Linked DNA regions of Mus musculus. The protein of the gene in region 1 purifies or fractionates together with the protein of each later gene. This does not show direct contact. Links are inferred from orthologs where the notes say so. Each region holds a gene or a part of one and is shown in the gene's direction. Other genes may lie near its edges. The genes, in order: Slc30a4, Fut8, 2310011J03Rik, Cip2a, Pds5a, Stx8 and Mettl9.

Evidence for each region.
Region 2: the proteins of Slc30a4 (region 1) and Fut8 purify together in Homo sapiens (co-immunoprecipitation; 3 studies listed by BioGRID and IntAct, with this or other methods). This does not show direct contact. The link is inferred for Mus musculus from reciprocal best matches to the Homo sapiens genes SLC30A4 and FUT8.
Region 3: the proteins of Slc30a4 (region 1) and 2310011J03Rik purify together in Homo sapiens (affinity purification with mass spectrometry; 3 studies listed by BioGRID and IntAct, counting the BioPlex papers as one, with this or other methods). This does not show direct contact. The link is inferred for Mus musculus from reciprocal best matches to the Homo sapiens genes SLC30A4 and C19orf25.
Region 4: the proteins of Slc30a4 (region 1) and Cip2a purify together in Homo sapiens (affinity purification with mass spectrometry; 3 studies listed by BioGRID and IntAct, counting the BioPlex papers as one, with this or other methods). This does not show direct contact. The link is inferred for Mus musculus from reciprocal best matches to the Homo sapiens genes SLC30A4 and CIP2A.
Region 5: the proteins of Slc30a4 (region 1) and Pds5a purify together in Homo sapiens (affinity purification with mass spectrometry; 3 studies listed by BioGRID and IntAct, counting the BioPlex papers as one, with this or other methods). This does not show direct contact. The link is inferred for Mus musculus from reciprocal best matches to the Homo sapiens genes SLC30A4 and PDS5A.
Region 6: the proteins of Slc30a4 (region 1) and Stx8 purify together in Homo sapiens (co-immunoprecipitation; 3 studies listed by BioGRID and IntAct, with this or other methods). This does not show direct contact. The link is inferred for Mus musculus from reciprocal best matches to the Homo sapiens genes SLC30A4 and STX8.
Region 7: the proteins of Slc30a4 (region 1) and Mettl9 purify together in Homo sapiens (co-immunoprecipitation; 3 studies listed by BioGRID and IntAct, with this or other methods). This does not show direct contact. The link is inferred for Mus musculus from reciprocal best matches to the Homo sapiens genes SLC30A4 and METTL9.

Annotation. Positions count from the first base shown.
Region 1 is NC_000068.7:122,689,061-122,693,010, reverse strand, and holds part of Slc30a4 (zinc transporter 4), read left to right. Parts: intron 1-3,458; coding exon 3,459-3,612; intron 3,613-3,950. UniProt on the Homo sapiens protein: Probable proton-coupled zinc ion antiporter mediating zinc import from cytoplasm potentially into the endocytic compartment. Controls zinc deposition in milk.
Region 2 is NC_000078.6:77,236,517-77,241,266, forward strand, and holds the start of Fut8 (alpha-(1,6)-fucosyltransferase), read left to right. Parts: upstream 1-1,587; 5' UTR 1,588-1,683; exon of another isoform or gene 1,684-2,737; intron 2,738-4,750. UniProt on the Homo sapiens protein: Catalyzes the addition of fucose in alpha 1-6 linkage to the first GlcNAc residue, next to the peptide chains in N-glycans.
Region 3 is NC_000076.6:80,317,566-80,322,010, reverse strand, and holds 2310011J03Rik (UPF0449 protein C19orf25 homolog), read left to right. Parts: upstream 1-1,462; 5' UTR 1,463-1,698; coding exon 1,699-1,828; intron 1,829-2,463; coding exon 2,464-2,663; 3' UTR 2,664-3,756; downstream 3,757-4,445. Other genes in the region: Pcsk4 (proprotein convertase subtilisin/kexin type 4), read left to right, coding at 60-205.
Region 4 is NC_000082.6:48,992,676-48,997,257, forward strand, and holds the start of Cip2a (protein CIP2A), read left to right. Parts: upstream 1-1,512; 5' UTR 1,513-1,602; coding exon 1,603-1,704; intron 1,705-4,582.
Region 5 is NC_000071.6:65,695,270-65,699,852, reverse strand, and holds the start of Pds5a (sister chromatid cohesion protein PDS5 homolog A), read left to right. Parts: upstream 1-1,616; 5' UTR 1,617-2,103; intron 2,104-2,915; 5' UTR 2,916-2,955; coding exon 2,956-3,090; intron 3,091-4,583. UniProt on the Homo sapiens protein: Probable regulator of sister chromatid cohesion in mitosis which may stabilize cohesin complex association with chromatin. May couple sister chromatid cohesion during mitosis to DNA replication.
Region 6 is NC_000077.6:68,007,896-68,011,845, forward strand, and holds part of Stx8 (syntaxin-8), read left to right. Parts: intron 1-3,419; coding exon 3,420-3,544; intron 3,545-3,950. UniProt on the Homo sapiens protein: Vesicle trafficking protein that functions in the early secretory pathway, possibly by mediating retrograde transport from cis-Golgi membranes to the ER.
Region 7 is NC_000073.6:121,051,276-121,055,225, forward strand, and holds part of Mettl9 (methyltransferase-like protein 9 precursor), read left to right. Parts: intron 1-811; coding exon 812-1,021; intron 1,022-3,950. UniProt on the Homo sapiens protein: Protein-histidine N-methyltransferase that specifically catalyzes 1-methylhistidine (pros-methylhistidine) methylation of target proteins.

The DNA of each region.
Region 1 (3,950 bases):
AATCTGACTTTATTCAAGTTCTGTAACATCGTCATGCTTCCATTTTCTGTCTGTAAAGGATGCTACAATAGTGTCTCCCACATAAAGTTATTAAGGGCAGCAAGGGAATGACTATTTGGAAAGCATTCAGGACAGTGGCCAGCACTTTAATAAGGATCTTCATTCTTTATTAATCCACTTCACTCATTCTCTGAAAAAAATTAAAATGAACTCAAGGCTTCTTAGTAGCATGTATGTATGCATACAAAAGGCCAGTATAAATTCTTTGGAATATCCAGTCTTGAAAATGTTTGACTAATTTTTATCATTATTTGTTAATAGTCTACATTCTTTGGTACAACAAAATTTGTACTTCTTAAAAGAAAATAAATGCTATAGGCCAGGTGAGCAGGAGAGCTCATAGCCCTCTTCTCTTAGGGCTGTCACCACAGTCTCTTCAGTTGCTTCATGTGTAGCTGTGGATGGTGTGAAATCATTCTGAGTTTTCTTTATTTACACTACACTACAACAGCAGCAGGTTAATGTGGGGAGAGAGAAAGAAAGAACTAAAGCCTTATGTGTTGTATTTAAGTGTCTGGACTTATTTGATTATGGGCATGTCACTTTACTCTGAGAGCTAATAATACAGGATTTAATGAAACCACAATGAAAGAGATCCCACAAATCTTTTTTATTAGATATTTTCTTCATCTACATTTCAAATGCTATCCCAAAAGTCCCCTATACCCTCCCCCCGCCCTGCTCCCCTACCCACTCACTCCCACTTCTTGGCCTTGGCATTCCCCTGTTCTGGGGCATATAAAGTTTGCAAGACCAAGGGGCCTCTCTTCCCAATGATGGCTGAGTAGGCCATCTTCTACATATGCAGCTAGAGACACGAGCTCTGTGGGGAATTAGTTCATATTGTTTTTCCACCTATAGGGTTGCAGATCCCTTTAGCTCTTGGGTACTTTCTCTAGCTCCTCCATTGGGGGCCCTGTGTTCTATCCTATAGATGACGGTGAGCATCCACTTCTGTATTTGCCAGGCACTGGCAAAGCCTCACAGGAGATAGCTATATCAGAATCCTTTCAGTAAAATCTTGCTGGCGTATGCAATAGTGTCTGAGTTTGGTGGCTGATTATGGGATGGACCCCCGGGTGGGGCAGTCTCTGGATGGTCCATCCTTTCCAGTAGATCCAGCAATACCTCTCCTGGGCATATACCCAGAAGATGGACCCCCAGGTGGGGCAGTCTCTGAATGGTCCATCCTTTCCTGTAGATCCAGCAATACCTCTCCTGGGCATATACCCAGAAGATGTTCCAAATTGTAATAAGGACACATGCTCCACTATGTTCATAGCAGCCTTATTTATAATAGCCAGAAGCTGGAAAGAACCCAGATGTCCCTCAATAGAGGAATGGATACAGAAAATGTGGTACATTTACACAATGGAGTACTATTCAGCTATTAAAAACAATGAATTTATGAAATTCTTGGGCAAATGGTTGTATCTGGAGGATATCATCCTGACTGAGGTAACCCAATCACAAAAAAAGTCACTTGATATGCACTCACTGATAAGTGGATATTAGAAACCTAGAATACCCAAAATACAACTTCCAAACACAAGAAAATCAAGAAGGAAGACCAACTCGTGGATATTTCATTCCTCCCTAGAATAGGGAATAAAATATTTATGGAAGGAGTTGCAGAGACAGAGTTTGAAGCTAAGACGAAAGGATGGACCACAAATCTTTAGGAGGAAAAAGATTCTCTTCTAAGAGAGTATGTCATTCTGAAGACAGCAGCTCCCATCCTGCTTCGCCCTTTCTGCCTTTCTCTGTATAGATTATCTTAATTGGCTTTTTTATGTGAAGTTTCTTCCAGATCTTCAGGGACTATACTGATGTAAAGACTATACTAAGCAGCACTGTTTGTGGTTAGGATAGAAAGCAGTGTTTATGATTTGATCATTTAAATCCTCAGACTGTGTTAATGGCAAGATGATAGCACAGGTATTGCTCATAATGTTTCCTGAGCAGAGATCATGGTCAGAACCAGCTAGATGTGTCTTGGGCAAGATTTGGCTACAACTAATTCTGTGTAGTTTGTTGCTTTATCCACTGATACTAGAGAAACAGAAAGCATCTCCTTCATATAAGCATCAAAAATAATACTAATAAACTTTCTACCTGGTTGTGATTCATTTTAACAGCTTTCTCCTACCTATATCAAAAGCTGTGCTTTTTATTATTCACATCTTATTGCAAATTTAATCATATCACATGACCTTTTACTGGAAAAAATTAAGCTCTAAATCTTGCTAGAAATGGGAGTTTAAGTTGAGGCATAAGGAAGGCATGACTGAAGTGGCTAACACTGGATACCATCAGTCAGCATGACCATAGTTGGCAGTGTAGTATGGTATAGGGAGTGATGAAAAAGCAGGAGTAGGAGAAGCAATTTGTAATAAAAGAGAGGAAACCCAAAGACAGACTCTGGACTATAGACTGATGAAAATCCCTATAACATCAGCTTGAGTGCAGTTGGACTAATTCGGAAGGCCTAGGTAAATCCAACACACCCTACTGTTGTTTTCTTCCTATCTTCTATTGGAAGAAGGCAGGAAAGAGTGGAAAAGAAAGTGGAAGAGAGGATATCTCTGTGTTCATTATAATTTTATAGATCTCTGGAACATGCCTTAGATGTTTGCTTAGTTCTTTCTGAGAATGGAAAGACAATTGCCATGTAACTTTAGTGGAATATACTTATTATTGGCATCATAGCATTAGCAAAGCAAATACTTACATTAGACCAGTAACTTATGCAATACCCACAAACACATATATGCTTCTGTTGTGAGTGGTCTACGTTGTTAAGACAAATAGTTATTCATTGACTGAATGAGTACCCATTAGTTACGAATGAATGAATGAATGAATGAATGAATGAATGAATGAATGAATGAATGAATAAATGAATAAGGCTGTGGAGACATGGTGACTCTTGTGTGCACATAGACACAAATACAATCACAAATTATAGTAAATGCTATAAAGAGAAAGAAAAAGACACTAAGTCAGAGAATAACAAAGGATCTAATATTTTCACATAATCTTTGAAGCTCTACTTTGGCATTTTCATGCCAAGTACAATAACTTTGATATTTTATAGTACAGCAAACTTTATGTTTAATCTTAATCTTGTATGTTTTATGCCATTAAAATTTTCTTTTTCTGTATCAGTTTTACCTTGTGAATGGAGATATGAATAGAGAGAGGATGGATATGAATTAGTTAAGGATCTAAATCATTCAAGCTGCTAAATACTTTAAGAAAAAAAATGTTGTATGACAAAAATAACAGTGCTCTTTCCTCTGTAAAGAAAATGTAAGTAGGAAACTGAACCATGTCTAGTTCGTATGAAGTGTAACCGTTGTGCTTAAGATGCCTGCATTTTCTGTCTTCCTTTGTAGAGGTTTTGTCGGCCATGATCAGTGTAATGCTGGTGTATGTACTAATGGGATTCCTCTTATATGAGGCTGTGCAGAGAACCATCCATATGAACTATGAAATAAACGGCGATGTCATGCTCATCACTGCAGCTGTTGGAGTTGCAGTTAATGTAATGTAAGCACAATATTTTTCACACACTATGAGCCAAAAGATTATTGCACATGCATGTATACAGACCATGGAATATGTTCATACTTAAAAATATAGTCAGTCAGTTTTACTTAGAAGTATAATGAAATGGAGCATTATAAACTTGTTAGTTTGTCCACCTGTCTCAGAGTTTAACACTAAAGAATTTAAGTAGAACCAAGTATGTTATTTAATATTTAATACTTTTATGTTAGCTACATTTCAAAGGAGTTTTGTATTTATTTTATTTGTGTGTGGGGCACATGCATGCTACTGTGTACACATGGAAGTCAGAGAACAATATACAGGAATCATTTCTCTTC
Region 2 (4,750 bases), on another chromosome or scaffold:
TTTGAGACAGGGTCTTTCTAGCTCACTAGATAGTCCAGGCTAGACTATAACTTAAAACAATCCTTTGGCCTCAGCTTTCCCTCCTCAGTGCTAGAATCAGGTATGCGTCGCAGCAATCGATCGATTTAAGACTGTAGTTTTCAAAGAGCTCAGTTAGTATTACTTCTTGTTTGAATTTTCCAGAAATTCATTACTGGTCTAGAACTGAATGTGAAAAGATTTGTTCCCACATATCAGTTGCTTAGCTGATACTTCTAATTCTGGGATGGTAACTATATCCTGAGCATGGCCTGAAGGATCTTTGAGAGCAGCGTACTGTGACACTGAGCAGAGACCTGAACTGCTGAAGAACTACTTTCTCACTGTATTTCAGAGTCATCAGTTTGGCGCTTTCTTATATACTATGCTGTTCTATAAAGATGTACTAAGTTCTTCACAAATATTTCTAGTGGCTTTTTCTTAAATAGAAAGTAGGTGGGATGCTTTGATTCCTATAGTTTTAATATTTCCTAGGAGATAATTAAAGCCAGATTAAAGGAGCAGAGAGTTCGAGGCACACATAAAACTTTGAATGTAGAGATCTTCAAGTACTGCAAATGGTAGCGTGTGTTAATTAACTAGAAATGGTTCCTCTTTTTCCCTTGAATACATTCAAGCCATACATCCTTGTTAAAGTGCTTTTTAAATGCTGTGCTGAAGCCTCAAAGTAAACATTTTACCTCTGACTCCTAAAAATGTTCCAGGCTGTGGGTGTAGCCCAGGAGAAAACACACCCTTAGCATGCACATACTCACACAAAAGGAAAAATAATTCAGGGTTTTGACTGTTGAAATTTTAGCCCTTAATCCATCTAAGTACAGTATAAGCCTAAATTTTGCTTATTTGCAACAGAGAACTGAGAGTCTCACGGAAGTTATCTACGCATTTAATAAATGACTACAGATTTGTTGAATGATGACACCCAAGCTTTTTGGCTAGATCATAATTCTGACTTCACCAGAGTTTTGTGTGACCTTCAATAAGCCACGGTGTTTTCTCAGAGAGCTTTATTTCGAAGAGACATTAACCCAGTCACAGGTCCGGAAAAGCTTCTCAGGGTGCGGAGCTCCTGAAGGCACAGGCATTTTTTTTTTTTTCCTTTTTAAAAAGCACTGTCCTTTGCATTTTAGAAACACAGTTCCTGATATAGAATAAACATTGGGAATTTATGAGAGTTATTAGGTAGGTTGCATTCTTGGCAGGCTACGACCTCTTTAATGTCTTTTCTGTGTTTTTTTGATTACTAGCATATAAAAGGGTGGCCCTGTTTACTCAGAGATACGTTTCCAAAGTATTTACTAGTATTTATCTGTGCTGGGAGGAATAATTGTCTTGAGGGCAGCTTTTCTACTCAGTCACCCGGCTGAGTCCTCAGGCTTGGGATCTGGTCCCCAGGCTACAGGGAAGAGTTCGGCACGGGAAGCTCATCTTCCGGCCCTCTGATTGGCCAGTTCGCACTCCACTCACTGGTTTTCCCGCTCTGATTGGCCCCGGCAGCACCCCTTCGGCCCGCGACTACTTTGTGTGCCCTGGCTGCGCGGCTGGGTCCTCCCGCCCAGCTCGCCCTCCCGGACGGTCTGTCGGAGGTAGCCCTTCGGCACTCGGCTCAGCATCGCGGGCGTCAGGATCCCCGAGTGCGAGCGGGTAGGAAGCATCCTAGGGAAAAGCCTCTCCTCTCCTGTACTCAATAAACTTCCGCCTCCGAAGGGCTGAGGCAGCAGCGGCTGCGAACGGCCGGGCTTCGAACTCGGGCTCTGCGGGGTTCTTTCTCTTCAGATGAAGACAGAGCCCGCAGGGTAGCCGGACCGCCCGGAGCCGAGGTGGCACTGTGTGCTGGTGCCTCAGCGGATGAGCAGCAGAGAGTACCCCGAAACTAGTACAGAGCCCTATTGAGCCCCAGCGGGGTGCGCCTCTGGGTGGTGGGCCAGGCCGGCCAGGGCGTGGGGAGCGCTGCTCCCCTCAGCCTCCGACCCTCAGGCGGCCTTCGCCTGTAGAGACCAAAGCCGGAGCCCGCGCGCGGCCGCTGTCCGGCTGGAACTCGGGTCCCGCCGTGGCCCGGTGGATGCTGCAGCTCCGCTGTCCACCCGCACAGAGAGGAAGGGGACGGGGCGGAGCCTGTGCACATGCCAGGGTCGCTGGAGGAGGCCGCGGCCGGCGCATGCGCGCCCTCCCCCAGCAGGCTGGGACGCCGAGGGGCGCGCGCCCCTCTCCGCGCGCGCACGCTCGCTCGCTCGCTCCCTCGCTCGCGCCGGCCGGCGGCTTCCCCGCCTGCGCTCCCGGTCGGAGCCACTCCGGCGCGTGCGCGCGTGGTCTCGGGCCGACCCGAGTGGCCGGGTTCTCTGGGCTCCAGGCCCCCGCCGCCCCCTCCCCGGCTCCCAGCCAACCCGTCCCTCCCTTTCCTCACGGAATGGGGCCGGCGCTGCTCGGGGTCGCGCGTCCTGGACCCGGCTCGCGCTCGGTCTCGCGCTGTCAGCCGCTGCCTGGCTCGCGCCGCCTTGCGCTTTCCCTCAGTCAGTGGCGCCGAAGGCTCCGTTAAGCGGCGGCCGCGGTTCCTGTTTCCGTTTCTTCCTCTCCCTTCAGTCGGGAGTAGCATCCTCCACCCCAGCACCCCTCCCACTCTCCCGCCGCGGCCAGCTGCAGCTGGAGGCAGCGGCGGCGGCGACGGGGGACGGCGCCGACCGCCTCGCTCCCGCCTCGGGTAAGGGGGCGTTAGGGAGCCGGGCCCCGCGCGCCGCGGACTCCAGGACGGGGCGGGCGCGGGCTCTGTGGAGCCTGGGCTCGGGGCGCTCCTTCGTCCTCCCGCCGATACCGGGCCTGTTGCTGCAACTGCTGCAGCCGTTGCTCAGCCAGCGGCCCCGGGAAAAGTGGGGAGGGAGCCTCCGGGACACCCCGGCGTAGCCTTGGCCCCTTGGGTGAGGGGCGCCGCGGCGTCGGGCATCCCAGGACCTATGGGATGGGGGCGGGGTGGGAGGTGTCCCTCAGCGAATCTCTGCATCTGCCGCTCCTTGCCCCCGCAGCCGGGTCCCCACGGTCAGACCGTGGGAAGGTGGGTTCCTTTGCTTTGCTTTGCTGTGTGGGCTTCTGGGGCTGGAAATCAGAGTGAACCTGCACAAAGATGCGTTCTGGCTAGTGGCTGAGGCAGGGTAGTTAATGGCCTGGGTGCCTCGGTATCCCCTCCCTTTGATCTGCGAATGACAAGCTGGAGGCTGTGGAGTGTCTCAACTTATTTGGGAAGGTTAAATGAGTCATATCAGCTCAGCGGAGGTCTGTCCTGCTGGAGTTGGGGTGGTTTGTCGGTAGCAGCACCTGTTCTCTGGATGTGGGCTTTGCAATCCTCAGAGACGTAATTCTTAAGTTAAATGGCACTGTCATGGTTAGGGTTTCGCACCCTGGTGAGCTTTTAGCGCTTTGCCTTAAACGTGGAGGCCTTGGAGAAAAGCAAAGAAAGTAGTGTTTTTCCTTGTGTCTAATTCTGCACGTTACTTTTAAGAAAACGCAAGAAGGTGAGCCCAGGAAAACCATATCCTCCCGTACCTCCCGTAGATCACTCCGAACTTAAAGGTTTCAGGGAACAAATGCAATGGAAGTTTTTATCAATTTAAGAGTTAAATTTATCACAAGTCACTGACTTAACTTTGCCTTTGCTCCGTAGAAACTCTTAAGAAGGTTTTATTTTAGTTGTCTTGTTCTTCCTGGGGTTAAGTGCTTATTTATTTTCTTGGTTAAAGTTCTGTGTAATATGCATACTTCTTTTAAAGGGTATATCATATATAAAGTATTTTAGGGGAGAAATTATATACTGAAGCAAAGAAGTAAGATGCTTCTTTTCTTTAAGGCAACATAGGAGTCTCTGACAATAGTACGCTCCTGTACATTGCTGTCCTTCTGATAAGAAGTCTTAATTATAAATACGACAGTATTTTAACACACATATATATAGCATTTGAAATTGCAGGCCGAGTGAAAATGTAGGGAACAAGAGACGACTAGGCTGTAAGCATATGAGGGTGGCTTGGAGGTTTGGGTTTTCAGTTTGCTGTTATAAATCGAGAATTCTGTTTGAGTTGAAGAGCTGAACAGCTGGAATGAAACTTGCATAGATTGCAGGAACGTGCAGAAATGTCTTTGATCAGATAGTGAGTTAATATGAAGGGTGTCTTGTGATCTACTAGGAGAGTGATTCAAAATAACTTAAATATGACACACTACAGATTGTATTTTAAGGATTTTTTTAAAATCTAAAAGTCATTTGAGGTTGTTTTCTCTGTAAGTCAGCTGTATTTGATATATATAGAACGGAGACCAAGACAATCATTCTGATTCTATAATGTGGTCTTTAAAAAAATAAAATCTAAATAATTTTTTTCCAAAGGAGTAACAGTGACCTCAAAAGTGATGAATTTTGAAATTTTCTAGTGTGTCACAAAATGTGTGTGTGTGTGTGGTTTTTTTTTTTTTTTTTTTTTTTTTTTTTTTTAAATGCAGTTATTTTAGGTTGGTCTGGAGGGGGAGCTAGTGCCAAAGCAAAGTGTAGCTTAATAGCTGTTTGAACTTTTTAAACATCTAACCAGATTTTTATGACCAGGAGAAGTATACATTTTTTTAATTAAAACACTAGAGGTATTGATGTGGACATAGTAACTGTTCATAGTTATTTGTGGGGTGTGTATATTGGATATTAGAAATTAGTTTTAGAAATCGATCATGAATA
Region 3 (4,445 bases), on another chromosome or scaffold:
CCGGCTGCACCCACCAGCTGCAGCCTCACTCCTTCTGTTTCCATGTTGTCCCTATGCAGAAAGTCACAGTCCCCTCTCCATCCTGGCAGGACTCTGCCTCATCTCCAGCCAGCAGTGGTGGTGGCTCTACAGCCACCCACAGCAGCCAGTGACCGAAGGACAGGCCAGCTGTCACCCTCCTGTTACACCTGCTGCAGCAGCCTGAGCAGCGACTACACTGCCTGTCCCCTGTCCCTTGTGTTGGGAGAGCTCCAGAGCCCCTCCAAGGCTTGCCACCTCTGGTGGCCCCCCAGCTACCAGTCTTGGGCCATGGTGCTGGCTCTGCTGGCCAGGGCCTTTGGGAGGCCCCTCGGCTTGAGGAAGGCCCACCTGCCCCAGGCTAGATACCCCAGTGCCCAAAACCATGCATGCACAGATCCCTGGAGGCTGGAGAGCCAGAGATGCCTGGCTGTCAGGACAGAAGGCCGGTACCCCAAGGTCCTGCTCTCAGGCTGGAAGAGAAGCCTGCCCCAGAAGGCCAGGGCAGAGCAGCTGCATGGGTCAGGTGACAGCCCACCGCTCAGCCTCAGCTGCTCCCAGTGGAAGAGATGTGTCCTTACTCATTTTGGAGCAGGTACAGTGGGCAAGAGGTCAGACCACAGCCACCAATCATCTGCCCCTTCCCTGTCTCCAAGCCATCCATAGCCCCATGTCTAACCTCATAGTTGCCAAATAAAAGTTAAACAGAAGATGTCGAGTTTATGGTGTCCTTGAGGGTAGGGTGGGCCCCTGGAGGAATAAGGACCCACAGAGGAAGACTGCTCTGAGCCCAGATCTGCCAAGTGCTGAATTACCATACAGCCATGAACAGGAAGCTAGCTCGCTCCCCCATCCCCCACTGGTTTTTTTTTTTTTTTTTTTTTTTTTTTGGTTTTTCGAGACAGGATTTCTCTGTTTAGCCCTGGCTGTCCTGGAACTCACTTTGTAGACCAGGCTGGCCTCAAAAATCTACCTGCCTCTGCCTCCCGAGTGCTGGGATTAAAGGCGTGCGCCACCACTGCCCGGCTTTCCCACTGCTCTTTTGAGACAGGGTCTCACTGTGTAGTCCTGGCTGTTCTGGGATTCCCCATATTGACCAAGATGATCTTGAACTCACAGAGGTCTGCCTGCCTCTGCCTCACAGTACTGAGATTAAAGTACTGAGTTAAAGGTCTACCACAAGGAAGCAAAGCCTGTGGCTAGGTTCCATCCAGCATTTATTGAGCGCCCACTGTGTACCTGGCAATGGTTGTACACTGATTACTCTCGAAATCACGTTCACCCCTTTCCTCCCACCACACGCGGTGAAGGAGGGCAGAGTTCCTTCTGATCTTACTGGATAGCAACTAGGAGCATCTAGGCTTAGGGCTCTTTAAGACGGGGGAGGGGTTTCGCGAGGCGTGGCGCTGGAGTGGACCGGAAGTGCCGGAACGTAGTGGCGTTCAAGCAGGAAGCGGAAGCGGTGGCGGCCGCCTAGGTTCTTGGAACGAAGATAGGCAGCGGGGTGTTCCAAGAGCAAACTGGCGCGGAGATCGAGCCAAACTCCGAGGTTCCGGGAGGAGGGAAAGCGAGACGGGGTAGGGACCTCGGCGCAGGTCTGTAAGGGGTGCGTAGGAGTTCGCGAGGTGGGCGGGCCGAGCCGAAAGTGGACCCCCAGTTAGCGCGCGCTCCACCTACAAGATGAACTCCAAGGCGAAGAAACGCGTGGTACTGCCCACTCGCCCCGCGCCTCCCACGGTGGAGCAGATCCTGGAGGACGTGCGAGGGGCACCCGCTCAAGATCCTGTTTTCACTGCCCTGGCCCCGGAAGGTAGGAGAACGTGAGACTCCCGAGTGGGGAGCAAACCGACTGCAGGGACGAATCTTTTTTGTCCCTGCCCTTCTCTTCCCCTGCAAAGAAAGATCATCAGAAATAAAATTGAAAGTGCTCCGAACTCTTGGGAGGCAGAGGCAGGCGGATTTTTGAGTTCGAGGCCAGCCTGGTCTACAGACTGAGTTCCAGGACAGCCAGGGCTACACAGAGAAACCTTGTCTCGAAAAACAAAAACAAAAAAAAGTTGAAAGTGCTGCCAACCCGGGTCTAGGGCAAGAGGATTGCTGTGAGTTCAAGACCTTGTCTCAGAGGGGCGTGGCCAGCTGCTCCTACAAATTAATGGGGGGCCAGAGTACTTGCAGGGGCCATATCTGCGACTCCTGGCCTAGGATCCAGGAATCCAGGCAGTCCTGGGTAGAACGGCAGGCCAGGGTGGCTGGAGGTGTCCTGTCCTCTCCATGACACCAAAACCTGAAACTGAGTCTTGTTTTCTAGTGCCTAATAGGCCTATATAGCCCAGGCTGGCCTCGAACTCACCATGTAGCCAAGGATGACCTTGAACCACTGATCCTCTTGCCTCTGGGTTGGTGGATGTCAGGCCTGGGGATGGTGACACTGTTTCTTCTCTTCAGACCCCCCAGACCCATCCCCAAGGGCTGAGGACTCTGAGATCCAGCAGGAGCAGATCTACCAACAGAGCCGGGCCTACGTGGCTATGAATGAGAGGCTGCGGCAGGCGGGGGAAGCTCTGAGACAGAAGTTCGATGGCCTTCGGCAAGCTGGTCAGCGGCTGGAACAGGATATCAGCCAGGTGACTTCAGCCACCTCCTAGAGCCGAAGTTACACCTGATGTCCTTGGTCCAGGCCTGGGCACCTAGCAACCAGAGGCTCTGGGTCAACATTTGCTGTCCCAACCCTGGCCCGGGGAGACCCAGTGGCCCACCTTGCCAGCTAGCAGCTTTGTTCCCTCTTCCATCCTTAATGGCCTCTAATTCATGATGGGACTTAGGGACATGGCCACCTCCTCATTATGGGGACACTGGCCTAAATTGCATCAAGGACTTGATTGCAGGTCGGGGCTCAAAGCCAGTCTGCCCCATAGTGACCGGTGTGCTCTTCTGTCCCATGTCACCCTGGGCAGTGAAGGTCTTCATCCCCAGCATCCACAGCAGGCCAGCCACTGGCATCTTGGTTGAGAGAATGGGCTAGCTGCACGCTTCATAGAGCCTGGCTCAGGCCCTCTAGGGCTACACTGCCTTCTCAGTTCTCCCTGGGGCCGGGGAGACTCATCAAGGGAGTTTCCATTCTGGGGAGCCCAGGGGTCCAAGAGGAACTCAAAGGCCAGGTCCCTGTGTGTGGTGAATGTTGCCCCTTCTGGATCTGGGGTTTAGTTTGCCTTCTTGCAGAAGACCCACCACTCTTGGGGTGGCTGGACTTTAGTTCTGGAAGATTAAAGATGTTTGATGCCTGAACACAGTTCTCCCTTAAGCCAGGCTAGATCACTGGGTACCCAAGCCCCCTGCCACCCCTTGGCAGCTCAGGCGCTAGCTACCACACCTGCCTCCTTGGGTCCCAAGCTGGCTGGAACTGTTTTGTCAGAAGTGGCCTTAGCTTGTGGCTACATCATTCCTGACACTCCACATTCCTGGCGGTCACGGGGTCCAACTTGCCCTGACCAGTGCAGCTTGGACTCCTGGTCCCCACCTCCACCATGACACCTCCACCACAAATGACCAGTGGCTGATGGCCAGGTACAGCTTGGCTGAACCTCAGTCAACCTCGGCTCCAGCATGTGGGGATGTGACACGCTGTCGAGTCAGTGGGGAGCTCAGAAACACCTTCTGGGGTTGAACAGAGCTGTAGAAGAAGGTCTTGGAACGACCCCCCCCCCCCAGAGCCAGTGATAAAGATGAAGCTACAGATCGATGGAGTGGCTCGCTTTATTAAAGATATGAACAAGAATCAGAAGCCAGGCAGGGTGTCCACTCGGGGGTCTGCGTGGGGGGTCGGGGGTCAGTATGTACAGAAGTGTAACACTGTAGTAGAACAGGGCGGGAGACGGTATGGCAGCAGAGGACACACTGACCAGGTATGAGCAAGGGGTGACATTGGCCAGGGACAGCGACAGACACACACACACACACAGTGAGGTAACTGGTAGGCATGATGCCCTGGTCAAGCACCCAGTGGTTAGTCTCCGGTAGACCACTGGTGTCCAGCTCAGAGCGCTAGCAGCCATCGGCAGCCTGGCGGCTAGCAGACCCCTCCTGCTCTGAATCTAAGGGCTCGTCAGCTCTTGCCTACCCTGGGCTGGATGTCACACTGTGTCCTGTGTCCCCCACTGTCTGGGGTGAAGAAGGCAAATGTGGCTGCTGGGCCCCCAAGGCTGGCAGGATGGGAGGAGGTGGCTGGGAGAAAGATGGCCCTTGCATGCTGGTACCACAGCCCAGACATCTCTGCTGCTCTACTCTGAGTCCTCCCCACGGCCCACATGGGGAAACTGAGGCACAGAGCAGCATGCTGGCTACCTGGGCTCCCACAGTGTGTGGTGCACAGGCTCAGTCTACAACCCCAGTTCAGGGTCATCCTGGGATGCCTCTGAGGTTTGAGAGGG
Region 4 (4,582 bases), on another chromosome or scaffold:
TCACACACGCATCAGTGATCAAAGCATCATTTTGGGGATATGCCTGTTATGTCAATGGAAGAGATCATTTTTTTTTTTCTTTCTAGCACTTTGGCTTTGTAATAAAGGCTACTATTTCTGAAGCTCAATAAGAATTTACTGAATAAACTATCGTGTAAAATAGTCTACTCTTAGGTTTCACTTCATGAAAAGCCTAAAGCAGTAAAATGCAGAGACACAAAGAGAAAGGTGCAAAAATACTTGTCAGCAAACTGGCTGCTCTTCGTTTTAGTGATGACGCATTCCTCGTTTATGTAGTGAATTCCAACAGTACTTTCCTATTTGGACTATTATTAGATGGTTGCTTCTCCGCAGGCACCACGTCCTCATCTTTGTTCTGAGTGACAGTCAATCCCTAGCCCCGTTATACATGTTTGTTTAAAATGGAATGAATGAATGCATGAATGAATGCACTAGCTACAAACTCTCATGTGACTATCTCAACGGCACAATCTTTTTCCAGCCATCAGTTAGCTTTACTTTTATTTTCTTTTAATATGAACATAAATGACGTCTTTAAAAGGTACCAATACAAACGAGAAAAAAACAAAAAACAAAAAGGAACGTTCCCTGAATTCCCACAATTTCAGAAGAACTTAGTCAAATGGGCATTTACTCGATCCCACAACCTAGCTTAAGCTCCTGAACCAGTTGCTGACTCACTTCGTTATTAGATCCGTGCACATCATTACCTCCGATTAAAATAATAATAATAATAAAATTCTCAACGGTGCCTTTCTTTCTTTTTTTTTTTTTTTTTTTTTTTTTTTGACGCCACAGAAATGTGCAAAATAATCACGCCAGACAAGAACAGGCCCCTCAGCCTACAGACATCAAAGCTGACAAGAACGCGTCCGGGAGCGACTCCGGGATGCTCTCTCTCTATGGGGGGTTCTGACAAATCCTACCGTAAAGTTCCGGCTGCCTCATCACGGAACCCCGACCGCCACAGGTCTTAGCCTGCGCGAGTCGCCTGCGGCCACCAGGGACCAGGGCCGCAGAACCTGAGGCCCCTCTCCCGCCGCCTCCAAACCTACGCCCCCACCCCCAGCTTCGGCGGCTCCGAGTTCCTCACCGTGTCTAGACTAGGGGGGAGCGGCCGTGTCTCGGGCAGAGGCTGAGGCACGCACGGAAAGCCGAGCCCGCCGCGCCCAGGCCGAGGAAGGCCCGGGGACCGAGCCCGCGCGGCACGGAGACCCCCGTTCGCCCCAGAAGCCCTCCACAGAATGAGCCCGCACGAGCTCGTCTCGCGAGATTCCCGCGTGTTCGCGGACCTCCAGCCGAAACCTCGCGGCCTCTCCGCCAAAGGGGGACTGCGGCGGGGGTGGGAGGGGATGGCTCCCTGCCACCTTCCCGCAACCCCAGCGCCTGGAACCCAGGCCCACCCTGCCAATCACCGACTGCAGTCCCACCCGCTGCTCCCAGACTTCCGGAGTCCGACCGGAACAGGAAGCTGCCAGGCGCAAGAGGGGTGGGGCTTAAAAAAAATCAAAAAATGCGCGGCGACCGCTGAAGACAGAGGGTGGCTGGTGTCGGTGGTCGCTGACAGGCCGGCTCGTCGGCATGGATTCCACCGCCTGCTTGAAGTCCCTGCTCCTGAGCATCAGTCAGTACAAGGCCGTTAAGTCGGAGGCGAACGCCACTCAGCTGCTGAGGCACTTGGAGGTAAGGAGGTTCGGGGTGCGAGTGGGTGTCCCCTCCTTCGGTCCCCTCCTGTTTTCTTGTGGGGCCGGAAGATGGAGGTCTCGCCCTGGGCAGACCTGCAGCTGCTTCGCTGTCCTTGCACTGGCGACAGCGACTGGGTGTGCGCAACGAGTGGGTGCCAGGAGGGGATTGTGTACGGACCCAAACCAGGAGGCTTTGGGGTGTATGCGAGCGCAGTGTGTGTGTGTGTGTGTGTGTGTGTGTGTGTGTGTGTGTGTACGGACCCAAACCAGGAGGCTTTGGGGTGTATGCGAGCGCACTGTGTGTGTGTGTGTGTGTGTGTGTGTGTGTTCCGGATCTTTTTTTAAGGTGCTGTATTAGTCAGGGTTCTCTAGAGTCACAGAACTTATGGAGTATCCCTTTATATTAAGTGGATTTATTGTAAGGACTTAAAGTTTCGCTCCTACTAACCCAACAAGTGGGGAAGCTAGCTGTGACTGGGAAGTCCAGGAATCTAGTAGTTGCTCACTCCCTCAACACTAGTTGTTTTCGCTGGTCATCTGTGTAAGCGGGAATCCTGAAGAAGTAGGTTCCAACTGGAAAGTCAGTGTAAGCAGGCAAAGAAGAGTGAGAATTCCCTCTTCCATTGTCCTTATGTAGTCCTCCAGTAGGAGGTAGAGCCCAGATTAAAGGTATGAATCACCACACCTGGATTTGGAACTTGCAATCCCAGCTGGCCTTGAACTCAGGAGACTTGTCTCATTCCCCTGGGATTAAAGGTATGTACTACCTTGCCTGGGCCTACGCTTTTCATGGCCACTATGCCTCGAGATCTGGATCAAAAGCACATCGCCCCATGTCTGAAGCCTGTGTCTTCCAGCCTCAAGATCTGGGCAGATGTGCCCTCCATTTCTGGATTTAGTTCATTCCAGATGTAGCCTTAGTTGACAACTGGAATAGATATCACAAGTGCCTATTTTCTATGTCTGTTTTGTTTTCTTTGTTGAATATTGAGTGGCTTCATTCACCGAAGATAATCAGGGCAATTCATTCAGGTTGTATGTATAAACAGGACTCCTTTTTTTATGTGTAAGTATTTATGTAGATATTTATGTAAGTGTTCCACGGATCCAAAAATACATTTGGATTGTTTTCAGAACTGTGTGGAATTAAGAATAAGTGCATTCCAGTCATATATTTTTATTATGGTTGAACGCAACCCTCTTTTATAAACCTACCAGTAGAACTATCAGGTCTTAAGGGCTTATGTTCCTCTTTTTGTTATTTTAATATTCTTTTAAATGTTTGTCTGTGTGTGATGTATGCGCATGTGTGGGCAGGACCCTCAGAAGGCACAAGGCTCTGTTCCCTGGAGCTGGTCTTGATAGCAGCTGTGAACTCCTTGAGGTACTGCTACTCCAACTCAGATTGTCTGCGGAATAGTGCATGCACCTAGCTGCTGAGCCATCCAGCCCACATCCAGTAATGCTTCATGTTGCTAAAACGCCTTTCAAAAAGACCTTGGCATTACGTACTAGCAGTGCATTGATTTTGCCATCGCGCAACCAGGCCCATCCTTAGTTCTTAGTATTTACCGTTTTTGAGGGTGATGTAGTTTCCGAGGATACACAAATATTTATCATGAGAGACACGATTAGTCATTCGTCTGCACTGCTGCTGCAGTGTGACTTTATAACCCCACACAGTGTGACTGCAGTGTGACTTTATAACCCCACACAGTGTGACTGCAGTGTGACTGCAGTGTGACTTTATAACCCACACAGAACCTGTGCTTGGAGTCATTTTGCTCATGTTGGTCTAGTCTGATATTCGATGTGATGGCATTTCACATCACTGACCATGAGTCTAGTTATTAAAAGCGTGGCTTCAACCCCTTGGGGTATAAATCTGAGTCGTGCTTCTTTATCGTCAGTGTATGCATGCCCCAGTTTACTCAAAACACAAATTGAGTCAGAAGCACCTTTCTTACAGGGTTATGAGGATGAAAAGAGTTCCCAGGTGGAAAGCACTCTTAGGTCAGTGCCATGGCCAGATTAAGTGCTAGGCATCCTCATTGAGCTAGTTCCCATCAGTAAAAATTTAATTTTTACCTTATCTTAACTAATTACTAGATGCTATACTATTGTTGAGTCACATGTTTGGCCCCAGTCATGTTTAAAGCAGAAACTGCCTTCCTCTTCTAGAGAGCTAAGTATTACTAGATGAGAGAAACTATGTTCAGATCACCAAGTTGATGACCAAGTTGATTCCAAGATAAGTTAACAGTTTGTGTGATTTTTTTTTTACTTTGGACATATTTTTTCATCTTACAAGCTAATTAATTTTAAAACCCATTCTACTAGGGAATAGATAAATTGAAACTCCAAGAGCAAAGCTTGGTAAGAAAGTGGAAAAATAAAAGGAAGATACAGAAGGAGGTATTAGACTCTAATAATTAGAGGGTTACTAAAGCAGTCTGCTTAGATGTGACCTTTTAGAGTATGTATTTGAGATACGTTAATCTAATTCTAAAATAACAAATTGTTTGACTTTAGATAACAGGTTTATTTATAATCTCCCTCACTAAAATAACTGGATTGAAGAGGAAAAATTATTAAAAAATTTATTCTTGCTACATTTTAAAACATTCTTTGTTAACTTTACTCTTTCTGTGTAATCCCCTAGCTGCTAGATTTAACGTGAAAGCAGTCATTAGTTGTTCATTGTGCTTCATATTTAATTTTCAAAACATATGAAATGAGTATACTAGGCTTCGGAATAATAAATCTAGTTGGTTCTAGTGCACATTTTAGTCTGTTTTCAGTATCGTAGATGATATAGGTAATTCAGGTAGAGAAGGAAGAACTCTATATATGGGCAGAATGAACAAAAGATGTGA
Region 5 (4,583 bases), on another chromosome or scaffold:
CCTCAGGATATGGTGGGACTCTGCCAAAACCAATCAAACAAACAAACAAAAAAAACCAATACATTTTTTCCCCTCCTGTTTTTATTCTTTAGGTCTCCCAAATCTTTTTACCTCAGCCTTCCAAGTTCTGGGACCACTGGCATATCAGAGGAGACCTGGCTCCTCCCTGCCACGTATTACTAGCATATTCATATTACTGGAAATCTTGAGTTCAAAAAAATCCTCTTGCCTAAATCTTTTGATTTAGCTGCAACCATAGGCCAGTTAAAAGGTGGGCATTTTAAAGAACAATGTATAAATTCAATTGCTGCCAGCTTCTTCTTTCTGTTTTTTTGAGATAGGGTTTCCCTGGCCATCCTGGAACTTACTCTGTAGACCAGGCTAGCCTCGAAATCAAAGATTTGCCTGCCTCTGCCTCCCGTTGAAAGGCGTGAACCATAACGGCCTAGCTTCTTCCTCTTTTCATTATTATTATTAATATTTTTTACTTTTTTTGAGACAGGGGTTCTTTGTTGCCCTGGCTGTCTGACGTCCTGGAGCTAGCTCGATTGACCAGGGTGCCTTGAACTCAAGAGATCCGCTTGCCTCTATCTCCCAAATGCTAGGATTAAGGGCGTGCACCACCATCACCCCCTTCTGCTTATTGTTTTTGTTTTTTTGAGACGGTTCTCTGTGTAGCCCTGGCTGTCCCTGGCTGTCCGGGAACTCACTCTGTAGACCAGGCTGGCTTCGAACTCAGAAATCCGCCTGCCTTTGCCTCCCAAGTGCTGGGATTAAAGGCGTGTGCCACCACTGCCCGGCTTGCTTATTGTTTTAAAAGGTGGTTTCCTGAAATTATGTGTGTATTGTTCAGGTTCATTCGCTTCAATATTTACCTTAAATTGCTCAAGCACCGCTGCACTAAGTTTTCTTTGGCAAGCCTTTCCTTTGGAGGAGAGAAAAAGTAGAGCTTTGGTGTATTCACAACTTAAAAAAAAAAAAGAGGTCTCAGATTCACATAGGTAATTTGTAAATCTCTAAAAACACCCTCCCTCTTTCTTCTTCTGGGCTTCACTATCAGGAACCCTAGTCTGTGTTTTCAGCCTGTACCCAAAATGACTGGGAGGCCAGAAGCCCCGGCACCATAGCTTGAGATCGCATGCCAACTTCCTATTTTGCAGCTTTGAAAACCTTAATGGTAGGAGTCTAACTAAGGTCGTAGGCTGCGACCTAGGGCGACTCTCCGGAAGACGCGAGAATGAGCAGCCCGAGTTGTAAAACTTTGCCTCGGCTTCCAGAGCTCTGTTTGGAGGGGAAAGCAGCCGTTTCTCCAGATAATTAACCATTTCTCCACCGGTCCGGTCACATCCCCGCCAGCCAAGCCTTCAAGAGCCCCGGACTCCGCGACAGCGGTGGCCGGGAGTGTCGCAAAGCCGCGCCTCCCGGGGTCCGCTTCCCGCCACCGGGGCTCCTCCTCCGCGCGCCGGCTCGGCTGCCGGCCCCCCGGAGGCGCCCGCGCGGGCAGGTCTTGGCGCCAAACGGGTGGCGGCGCTGTCCACCACGCGCGCGGCCGCGTCGGGCTCGAGGGAGGCGGGGGCTCGGCCGGCGGAAGAAGGGGCGGGAGCGAGGCGCGCGGTGCTCTCGCGGGCTCTCGCGCCGCTCGCGTGACGGGCTCCGGCTGTGCGCGGCGACGCTCAGGCTCCGCGGGGCACGGGCGGGCCGGGAGCGCGCCGCGGCGAGAGGGCGTCTGGTGCGGGTGGGCGCGAGGTGCGGGCGGCCGGCCGGCGAGCGAGCGAGCGGCCGGGCGGGCGCGGGGGACGCGCGGGCGTGCACCCGCGCGCGGGCTCTCGGAGGAGCCGCGGCCGAGGCTGCGCTTCCTCAGCCCGACGGAGAGCGGCAGTGTCGCCCCGGCCGGCGCACGCTCGGCCCGCTTCTCCCCCCGCGGCGGCTGCTCCTCGGCACCGCCAGCCCCAGCGCCGCTCCGGGGCGGGCGGGCGGCGGCGGCGGCGGCGGCGGGACGGACGGAGCCGCTTTGTGTGCAGCCCGACGAGGGGCGGCGGCGGCGGCGCAACCACCTGACAGAGGCCCGGCGCTCGCTGCACCGTCCGCCCGCATGAGGAGGAGGTAAAGCGGCGGCCGGGCTCGCGCCCTCGGCGGCGAGGGAGGGACGGAAGGGGAGACCGCAGGGGAGGGCGCGCGCGGAGGCCCGGCGGGGTTGCCCGGAGCGGCGGCTCAGGCCTTGGCGGTGCCGAGGAGCGCCGGGCGACCGAGGGGCTTGAGATGCCGCCGGGCTCGGTTGCTGAAGTTAAGGAACAAAAATGTGAAGTGCGGAGCCGGGTCCTTCGCTTCCTGGCGAGGGGCTCGGGCGGCTGGCGGGGGTGGCGGGCTGGCCGGGGAGGGGCGGCCGCGCGGCGGGGACGCCGGGAGCCCGGGGCTCGGCACGGCTATGGCGTTCTGCTCCCGGGCGCCGGCGCCGCGCGTGGGTCCTCTTGGGTACCTAGTTTTGCGGCCTAAGCTGAACCCTCTAGGCCTCGAGTCTCCTTTCCCGGAGGTGACCGGCCAGGCGGGGACCCAGCCGCTTCTCCTGAGCCAAGTGGGGCCGTTGGGTCCTCAATGTCCCCCCGAGGCCACCAAACTTCCGTCCTAGGTGCTCGGGGATACATTTCATTGTGAAAAGAGGGCTAGGAAACTCCGGGAGCTGCTCGGCGCCTCTCGCGGCCGGGGCTGCTGCAGCCGAGAACCCCGTGGCACCGGGGCTGGCTCGGGTGGGGGTGGCGGACGCCTAGCCGGGTCCGAAACCCAGGGAAGGAGCGAGTGGCGGGGTCCCCGGCCTCGGGGGGAAGAAAGGGCCCTTTCTAGATTAGAGATTTTTGAAATGAAAAAGAGGTTACAAAGTCGCCCCTTTTCCCGCTGAACTTTGATTTTCTGACCGATAGAGGCCGGTAGAGGACTGTGAGAGAAAAGTTATTCCCCAGGATGGACTTCACGCAGCCGAAGCCTGCCACTGCCCTCTGTGGCGTCGTGAGTGCGGACGGGAAGATCGCTTACCCTCCGGGAGTAAAAGAGATCACCGACAAGATCACCACCGATGAAATGATCAAACGTCTGAAGGTAAGGGTCTGGGTCGGCGATCTGCGCTCTGGATGGCTTTTGTGACTCGTGTGGTTTCATTGGACTACTCTCAACCTGGCCTTTGGAGTTTTTAGTACTAAGTTTTTGAAGATATCTTAACCGCCCCGGAAAAGTCCTGTTCTAACTTGGCGGTATCTTTGGATAAGTTCTGAAAGGACGGGGAATTTAAAGAGTGTGATCATTTTCTGTCCATAAGAACGCATGCATGGTTAGTTGTTTCCCTTGTGGTTATTTTATTTAGTGGATGTTGTTTAAGGGGCTCGATACCCTGAGGTGTAGACAGTGATTTTACCCACGAAAGTTCCTATTATTATCTACTCCAAGAAAAGACTGACTTGAGCACAAACAACCATATTGTCCCCCTTAGATTCTCGTAATTTTCTAATGGGAGCTTAACTATCTATACAGTGGGCTAAACTTAATACAGTGTACAGATTTTTCAGAATTCGAGCTTAAGGAGAAATGATGATTTTAGTACACATGCCCAAGAGAGTTGAAGGACGGGATTGTTGATATGTCTGTGAGTTTGTGTTTGTGTGTGCGCACCGGTTTTCTTGGTGTAACAATCTTGCGCTGTCATTTTGGGACTTAACTTTTCTGCTACTGCATAGGGCAGTGTTTGTTATGGAATCAGTTTCGAGCAGTGATTGTCACTTTGGACAACTTTGATGCACCAGGGGGTGTTGTAGGCAATTTCAGAGTCATTTTGGTTGTCACAGTTGGCTTGTGGGGAGTAGGCTGTGACGTTCTGTGAGGAGGCTAACAGTTGTCTAGTGAAAGATCTTAAACTATTGAAGTACAGTGTGGACAGTGGGAGAGGCAAAGAATGGGTTTGATGACTTGTTTAAGAGAGGACTAGTGGGCTGGAGAGATGGCTCAGCAGTTAAGAGCACTGACTGCTCTTCCAGAGGTCCTGAGTTCAATTCCCAGCAACCACATGGTGGCTCACAACCATCTGTAATGGGATCTGATGGCCCTTTCTGGTGTGTCTGAAGACAGCTACAGTGTGCTCATATAAGTAAAATAAATCTTTAAAAAAAAAAAAAAAAAGAGGACTAGTAACCCAGCTGCCTGCCCTTGAACTTAACCATTTTCCTGCCTCCACTTCCCAAAACACTAGTGGCATAACCACACCCTGCCAACAACAGTGGTTCTCAACCTGTGAGTCGAGACCCCCCCCCAACTATCTGATATCCTGTCTATTAGGTATTAACACTGTAATTCATAACAGTAGCAAAATTACAGTTATGAAGTAGCAATGCAATTATTTTGTTTGAGGTCACCACAACATGAGGAAGCAATAGGAAGGTTGAGACCCATTGTGTTAAAAGGTGCACTTCAAAGTCAGACATGGTGGAAGGCTAGGCAGGGAACATCGAGGACAATGTTTCTGCCTTATGCAACTTTATAAAATGGATTTCTAGGGCCTGATTTTAGGATTGAGCACAGTGCCCAGTAAATGTTGTGTGTTT
Region 6 (3,950 bases), on another chromosome or scaffold:
ATTGATTTGAGGAAAGGGGGATGGAGTGGGGATCAGGAAGGACTCAGCAGCAGAAGTGACCTTTGAGTTGAGCCTTAGGGGATGAATAGAATTTTGCCAGATGGACAAAGGGGTGGGGGTGGGGATACTCCAGACTCATGCAAAAACATGAGAGTGTGAAAGTTTGTGCCTTTGACTCTGTGGTAGTGAGCAGGATGTACGACTCAGGGAGATGAAGGGTGTGGTACTGGGGCATTGGGAGATGCTGCTGCTGAGACCATGGACCATCTTTTAAAGCTCACACGTAACCTATAGTTCCAGGGAGTCACGGAAGTTGTGAACCATGGAGATAATAATAGTGAGACTTCAGTTTTAGGTCATTCTATCATCAGAATGGGTCTGTAGGAGAGGTGAGGAGGGTCTAAAGCTAGGCTGTACTAACAGGGGAACATGTTGGCTGTGCATGAGGACAGTGAGCCATCTCTGAAGAACACCTCAGCCACTGCTGTGAGGTAGAAGGATAATTGCAGCAGCAGCAGCAGCAGCAGCAGCAACAACAGTAGTAACACAAGGCCCTGGATGGCACACTAAGCAGACTCGAGATGGGGAGGAGAAAAGCTTATGGGGCAAAGGAGTGAATTTGACCTTGCCTTTGCGAACTACTTGAGGATTCTTAAATGAGACAGGCATCACAGGGCACCTGTGGGAAAATGCCAAGGGCAGAGATACATTGGAAAGTCTTCAGCTTGGTGATTTTCTTGTAGGGAAAGGGAGGGAGGACATGCCTATTTTTTGTTTGTTTGTTTTTTTTCAAAAAAAAATTTTTTTTTACCACTTGGCTTATTTTACTTATTCATGTACCATTCTTTATCCTTACTTCAGAATATGATGTGACTCTACTAAGGCCAGTGTCAGTAGAGCAGTAGTGACTAATAGTAGGTATCACCCTAAGCTGATGAAGTGCATTCAGATGCATAGACGCATAGGAATGCTACAGGTGCATTGCTGGTAGGTCCAGGCCATCAGTAATCGAGGAAGACCAAGTCAGAGGAGCAGGAAGTAGGCGTGGCTTAGCTCTGGGAATTAGGTCATGCTGGGAAGTCTATTCTCTGTATCATGTTTACTATTGATATGAGCTTGTGCCCACATTTTTACTTTTATTCCCTAATAGGTGATTAAAGTATACACATACCACACACAAACTGCACACGTCAACACAGCTGGAGTCCTAACTTGCCATTTATTGAGGTTGCTTAAAATCACCTCACATTTGCTGAATTGTTTTTGTCCTTTCATATTAATACCTTAATTTTGTCTGTGTGCACAAGTGTGTGTACATTCATTTTGTGTTTTTTTTCTTTTTTTTGAGACAGGGTTTCTCTGTATAGTGTGTGTACATTAGTGTGTGTGTGTGTGTGTGTGTGAGAGAGAGAGAGAGAGAGAGAGAGAGAGAGAGAGAGAGACAGAGAGAGAGAGAGAGAGACAGAGAGAGATAGACAAGGGCTTGATACTAACCTTGGAGCAGTACCACTCAGTTTTGATACACTCACTGAAATGACTGCTCAGAGCTGGCCACCAATGCACTCCTGAGTCTCGGGCGATTTTTATAGTTTCTGACCCAGGCTTTTGCAGTGAGCCACATACAGCTACGGTGTGTTTCATGCTGGCACTTGCAAGATGACTCCGGTGCTAATGGATATGTTTGGATTGCAAATTGCCTGCTTCACTTCCCTTTTCATTTCTTTCTTCCTTGTCTTCAAAGCTAGGTGAAGCTAAGTGATTATGTATGGAGTAAGTGTGAAACCTCGACATCTTGGCTTCTTGGGGCCAATCATGTCAAGTAAAACCTTGAAGAACACATCTCTCTTTTTGATAGACTGGAAGAAAGTCATACTGGTGTTTGACATGTTAATTGGCACATTTGAATATGAGACCAGACCTGTGCGTAAAATCTTAGTCCAAAGAATCAAAACAGTCTTTGCATTTAGCCCAGGTTTTCTTGAAGGATATAGTCTCTTTTTAGTTAAAAGTGAAATTAATAGAATGTTGGAATATATTGTTTAAAATAATTTTAATACCTCCTAGTAGACAATGCAGTAATTGGTATAATGAAAACAGTTAATCTATTGAAAAAGATATTATTTCCCAAACACTGTATTCAGTAGTTTGCATACATTATTATCATCTCTTTTCACACACAAACATATACACACACAAGTACATGAGGACAACACCCACAAGGAGAAGCTGTATATTGTCAGGGCAAAATTTTGATCAGCTTGTACATAGTTTGTTTGATTAAAACAGTGCCTACTGAATAAGTATTGACAAAATCATTTTATGAATACATAAATTACTCTAGTTAATCCATGCTAAAACTTCCAGAGGTAGATGCTACTGTCTATATACTCCCAGTAAGTGGCATGCTCGTGGCTATTTGCTCTACACTGGGGAGCAGGGTGCAATAGAGGGGAGGTGGGTTCTATGTCCACTTCCTATCCAGTGGTCAGAAGGCTTAACGATATGGAAGGCCAAACAGTAGGGTAGCAGTTACTTCCAGACAACACAAGAGATGCCATCAGGGCTTGAAAAATGATAAGCAATGGAGAAATGAGTGAGTGTACACTAAATCACCCAGAGAGCGTCTGCACATAGCAGTTGCTTAATCCATGGTGACTGCTACTGTTCCTCCACTCCTACATCATCATCACCCCTCTCTCAGGCTCAGCAAGAGCAATGGTGTGAATCCCGTTCAACTCTGCACTGGAGCAGTCAGGGCAACGGGATTCTTACATCCTTTGGACAGGGAGGCAGCGGCAGGAACTACGCGCTCTGTCCTTAGATGGAAGACCAAGATGTGTTGTACAAGAGCCAATGTGCATTGCTTCAGGGGGGTAATGATCACAGTAGACAGTCACACTCAGTGTGATTGTTTTGACTGTAGTCACACAGTTGAATTGGAACTCTGAATGTGTTTCTGTGAGCAACCAAGCACCCTTTAATGGGAGATTTTATTACTTTTCTATGCTGTAATCTGTATTATTAGTATTATATTTGCATGAAAATATTTGTATTTTTATTTGTATATATTTGTATGAAAAAATATTATTTCTGTGCCTTCTGTGTCACAAAGCCTGTGAAACAAAATTTGTTCTGATAAACAGGCAACTTCCCGATGGCCTTGTGGTTTGAGACTTAACAACCTAATTTACCACCATCTTTGGAGGGTTAGTAGAATGCTGTGTAATTGTCTGGGGACCACAGCCTAGCCTCAGATCTCTTACAGCCCTGGGCATGGTCCCTAGAATAAACTAAGAGTGCGATAAATTGTGGAGATGGCTTTGCAAAGCGTGCCAGGCTGGCCAGCTCCGTGCTCGTCACAGTGATTTTCAGCCGGTTGTGTTTTGTGAGATATGTAATGTGCTTGCTATTGTTCTCAGGTCCAGCCTGATGAGCGAAGAAGCAAAGCGAGGAACTCCCAACCCTTGGCTCTGTGAGGAGCCGGAGGAGACCAGAGGTTTGGGTTTTGATGAGATCCGACAACAGCAGCAGAAAATTATTCAAGGTACCTATTGCTCCAGGACTGTGGCTCACAAGCCTGGCTATTCTGCTGTGCTTGACTATTCTTTATCTCTACTGAAAGCTAGAGTCCAAAAGTAAAGCTCTTGGTTTTGGCCTCAAGCTGCTTGAGGCAACGACTTCATTGCTGCTCTGACTCCATGGTCATCACATCAGCTTTTACCCTCAACTTCATCTGGACCATCAGGGTTTTTTGTTTGTTTGTTTGTTTGTTTGTTTGTTTGTTTTACCTTTTTATTTGTAGGTTCCACACTTTTGCTTTAAAGTGTGCTGTTTTTAAAGTTTCTCATTTTTTAAACTTTCAGAAGTAATGTACTGTTGCTATGGGTTCAGGCAAGATTTGGGACAGACAAGACAGAGAGTACTTTGTGATGCCTCTCCAGTCTCAAAAC
Region 7 (3,950 bases), on another chromosome or scaffold:
TGGTTGTGCTGCAAGCATCTTGGAAGTCATTGAATGGTAAACCTATTTTACATTCTGATTATTTCCCGGAAGTGATAGAATGGTACAGTCTCTTTTCCAGGATCTGCGGAGGAATTGCTTCAGAAGCTGCTTCAGATTGCAGAGAAAATCTTAAAAGCGGGCTGCTGGCAGCTGTAGGCACTCAGCCTCACTGCAGTGTAATAGCTCCTCGGACTTGTGCTGTTTGAGTTTTACTTCATTTGAGAACAACCAGGATTTGGGAGCAGGAAGGGAGTAGGGAGTGTACTTCTTTATGGCTTGCTTGGGCTGTACCTGCTTTTCTAAGGGAGGGCTCCTTTAGGCCCCACATAACCTCTGCCGGCCGCTTATTATTTTTATTTTTTTCAGTCAATATTATCAGCTTGAAATGTTTTAGGACCTTTAATAAAATACAGGTCTCAGCTAACTATAAACCAACCTGAGTGTGGCTAATCTCACAACGATTGCTCTTTTCCTCTTTTAAAGCATTTTTAAATCCAATTTTTCTGCATCTTAAGACTCTTTTATACGAAATTATTTTTTTCCTATCACCATTGTTGAATCCATCTTCCTAAAAGGTGTGTTTGGTTCCTCTGCCCACGCTATGGTTAGCCTTGAGTCTCTGCCATTCCCTCCACCTTTTCTTTGTGAATTTGTTTTTGGCCATGAAAGATAAACTATTTTTGAATTGTATACTAATTTCATAATGTCAGAAAGCTTTGGTGCTGTTTTCTCTGTGTACACGGGCGTTCTTTAGAGTCGTGGATCTCACCTCCTGTCCATCTTTCCCCAGGTTGCTAGGAAGAGGCTCCATGTTTGTGTTCTCACCAGATCAGTTTCAGAGACTGCTTAGAATTAATCCGGACTGGAAAACCCATAGACTTCTTGATTTAGGTGCTGGAGATGGAGAAGTCACGAAAATCATGAGCCCTCATTTTGAAGAAATTTACGCCACTGAGCTTTCTGAAACAATGATCTGGCAGCTCCAGAAGAAGAAATACAGGTACCAGTTCTAGAGGGTGCCAGGCGTGCCTGTTGGGCATTTCTTGGGTTTTGATGTATATGTGTGTTGGGTTTTGGTCTAGTTTGTTTGTAGCACTGGGAATTGAATGCAAGGCCAGGGACTCTACCTCTGCATGTATCCTAGTGATAAGAATCAGGAGCAGTTTTCCATGGTTAAGAATTAAACACAAATCAGTGGGAAACCGGAAAAAGGGAATTTTCCATGGCAGCATTTTTCTGAAGCAGAGGACTTGGCATCACAGAGAAGATAGCATAAGTAAGAGACAGCTTGAGGTAGGCAGATGTGAGGACATGACCTCATCAGTGACATGTCCAGATGTTTTATATGCTTTAAAAAATTTTGGTAACATATATGTGATGTAAAATATATCCCTTTAGTCATTTTTAAGTCTGTAATTAGGTCAGCAGTCATGGCACGTTCGTGTTATCCATCTTCCCTAAGAACAGTCTGAAATATCATCCTGCACTCTTCCTTCCTCTAGCCTGTAATCACTGTTGTATTGGCATGAATCTGACTACTCTGTGTACTGTGTCTTGGAGGAGTCTTAGGAGGACTCATGGCTTACTGCACACCCCACACAGTCTGTGTTAGGGATGTTTGGGGGTTGCTTCTGACATTTGTCTTAGGTCCTTTTCTTTTTGTTTTCTTTTTCTTCCTAAGAGGGCCAAGACATACCAAGGGGTAGTCTTGGCTGTACTGGAACTCGTTCTGTAGACCAGGCTGGCCTCAAACTCAGAGATCTGCCTACCTCTGTCTCCTGAGTGCTGGGATTAAAGGCGTGCACCACCACCAATTTGTCTTAGTTACTTTTCATTGCTGTGCTACCAAGATGACTTATACAAGAAAGAGTTTATTTGGTTCCCAGTTTCATAGGGTGAGCCTGTGACCAATTGACAGGAACTTGGCAACCGGCAGGCATGACACTGTCACAGTAGCTCAGACACACATTGCGACAACAGCCATGAAGGAGAGAGAGAAGCCTCAAATCCTATCTCCAGTGAAACCTCCTTAAACAAGACCTCCGAGTCCTTCCTGAATAGTCTTACCAGCTGGGGACCATTCTCATTCAGACCACTACAGCCATGCCAAATGAGTAATATGTTCTCTTGGGTATATGCCTAAAAGTGGAATAGCTAGATCACATGTTAAGTCTAGGGTTTTTGTTTGTTTTGTTTTTAGATATATTTTATATGTATAATGTTTTGCCAGCATGTATGTCTGTGTACCATGTATGTGTCTGACATCCACAGAGACTGGAAGAGGGTGTTGGGAATCCCCTGGAGTTACAGATGATTGTGACCACCATGAGGGTACTTGGAGTTAAACCAAGGTCCTCTGTAAAAGTGCTAAGTGCTCCAAACTGCTGAGCTGTCTCTCCAGCCCCTTAAGTCTGTGTGGGGTTTTTTTTTTTTTTGAGAATTTACTGTATCTTCTCCACTTTATTTATGTCCCCACTGACCAATTTCTTTACACCCTTGACAGTAGTTGGATTTCATGCCCCACACACACTCAGATGTCAGTAATGATGGATGTAAAGGGTCAAGTTCAGGTTACAGACCACTTGGTGCTTGAAAGACTTATGAAGAGTATTTATTAGGTATGAAGTCTGTGTTCCGAGACTTCTTAAGAAAATGTGAGAGACCTCTCTTTGTATATTGGCTTCTATAGCCAATTTTTCTACTCTGGGTTCTTCTTTTTCCTACCCTTTATCTCCCTCCATCCCCCAGTTTCACCCCTTATAGCTAGGTAGGAGAGAAAGAAGGATGGGGGGAGGGTCCTTGAATAATTCTTTTCTTGTTTCTTTGTAGCTGGTCTTTGCTACTTTGTGCGTTCTCACCCCACCCCCCATCCTCTTTACCTCTATCACTAGGTAGGAGAGGAAGAAGGATAGAGGGGGAGAGATAGATATCTCTTTAATATTTAATTTCTTGCTTTTTACTTTGCTTCTTCATTGAGCACAGCTACTAACAAACCACAAACAACCACCACCCATACCCACCTATTGAGGTATTAGCATTTATATACCCTCTGAGAAGTTTCCAGAATGCCAAACATCACACAATTGTACAAACTATCTGCAGCTGGCAAAACTATGTCCCTGCTAGAGCACAAGGCAAATGGTAGTCAGTTGCTGTGAAGGAGCCCCATATCCTCACACCTGGGCTTAAAAGGAAAACATATTCTTATAAGATTTCTGTGTTTTTAAAAGAAACCAAAATTCCAGAATTCTTTCTACAGACTGGTTACACATGTGGAGGTGGGACCTGCCCCTGTGGTATTTGGAAAGCCTTGGACAGAGATTTATCTCCCCACTGACTTCTGTGAGTGTCTCTCACTTAGACTAACCTTAGTCAAGCATCTGTGCAGCTCTGGTGGGGCAGGAGCAGATTGAACATTTGGAAAACACGGAGAGTTTTAGTCTAGAGAAAGGACAGACCAAGGCTGGTGGTAGAAGGACGGATTGCTGTGAATACTTAATGAGACTTTAAATGGAAGGAAGAGGTAAACGTAGACTCTGCTCTATCAGGCACAGCTGATTCTAGAAGTTGAGTTGTGGATAGAAACATCAACCTTTCTCACCTCAGTGTTAAATAAGTGTTTGGGATGTTATATTTGAAGGACCTTATGTAGAAGTAAGTTTGAATGACCGCATAGTCTACCTTGGTTTCATCCTCAGTTTCTATCTTGGTAAACCTACATGGTAATAATTAGAATACATTACCCCTCCAAAAAGAAGTTAGTTTTTGTCCTTTGTTATAATGACAACTTATAGGTTTCTAACCTGTCCCCATATCTTCCTACTGAATTAAAACAAAACCAGGGCCAGTGAGTTGGCTCAGTAAGAAGGCTGCTTGCCACAAAGTCTGCTGCCCGAATTTGATGCCGGTTACCATATGGTGGGAGGAGA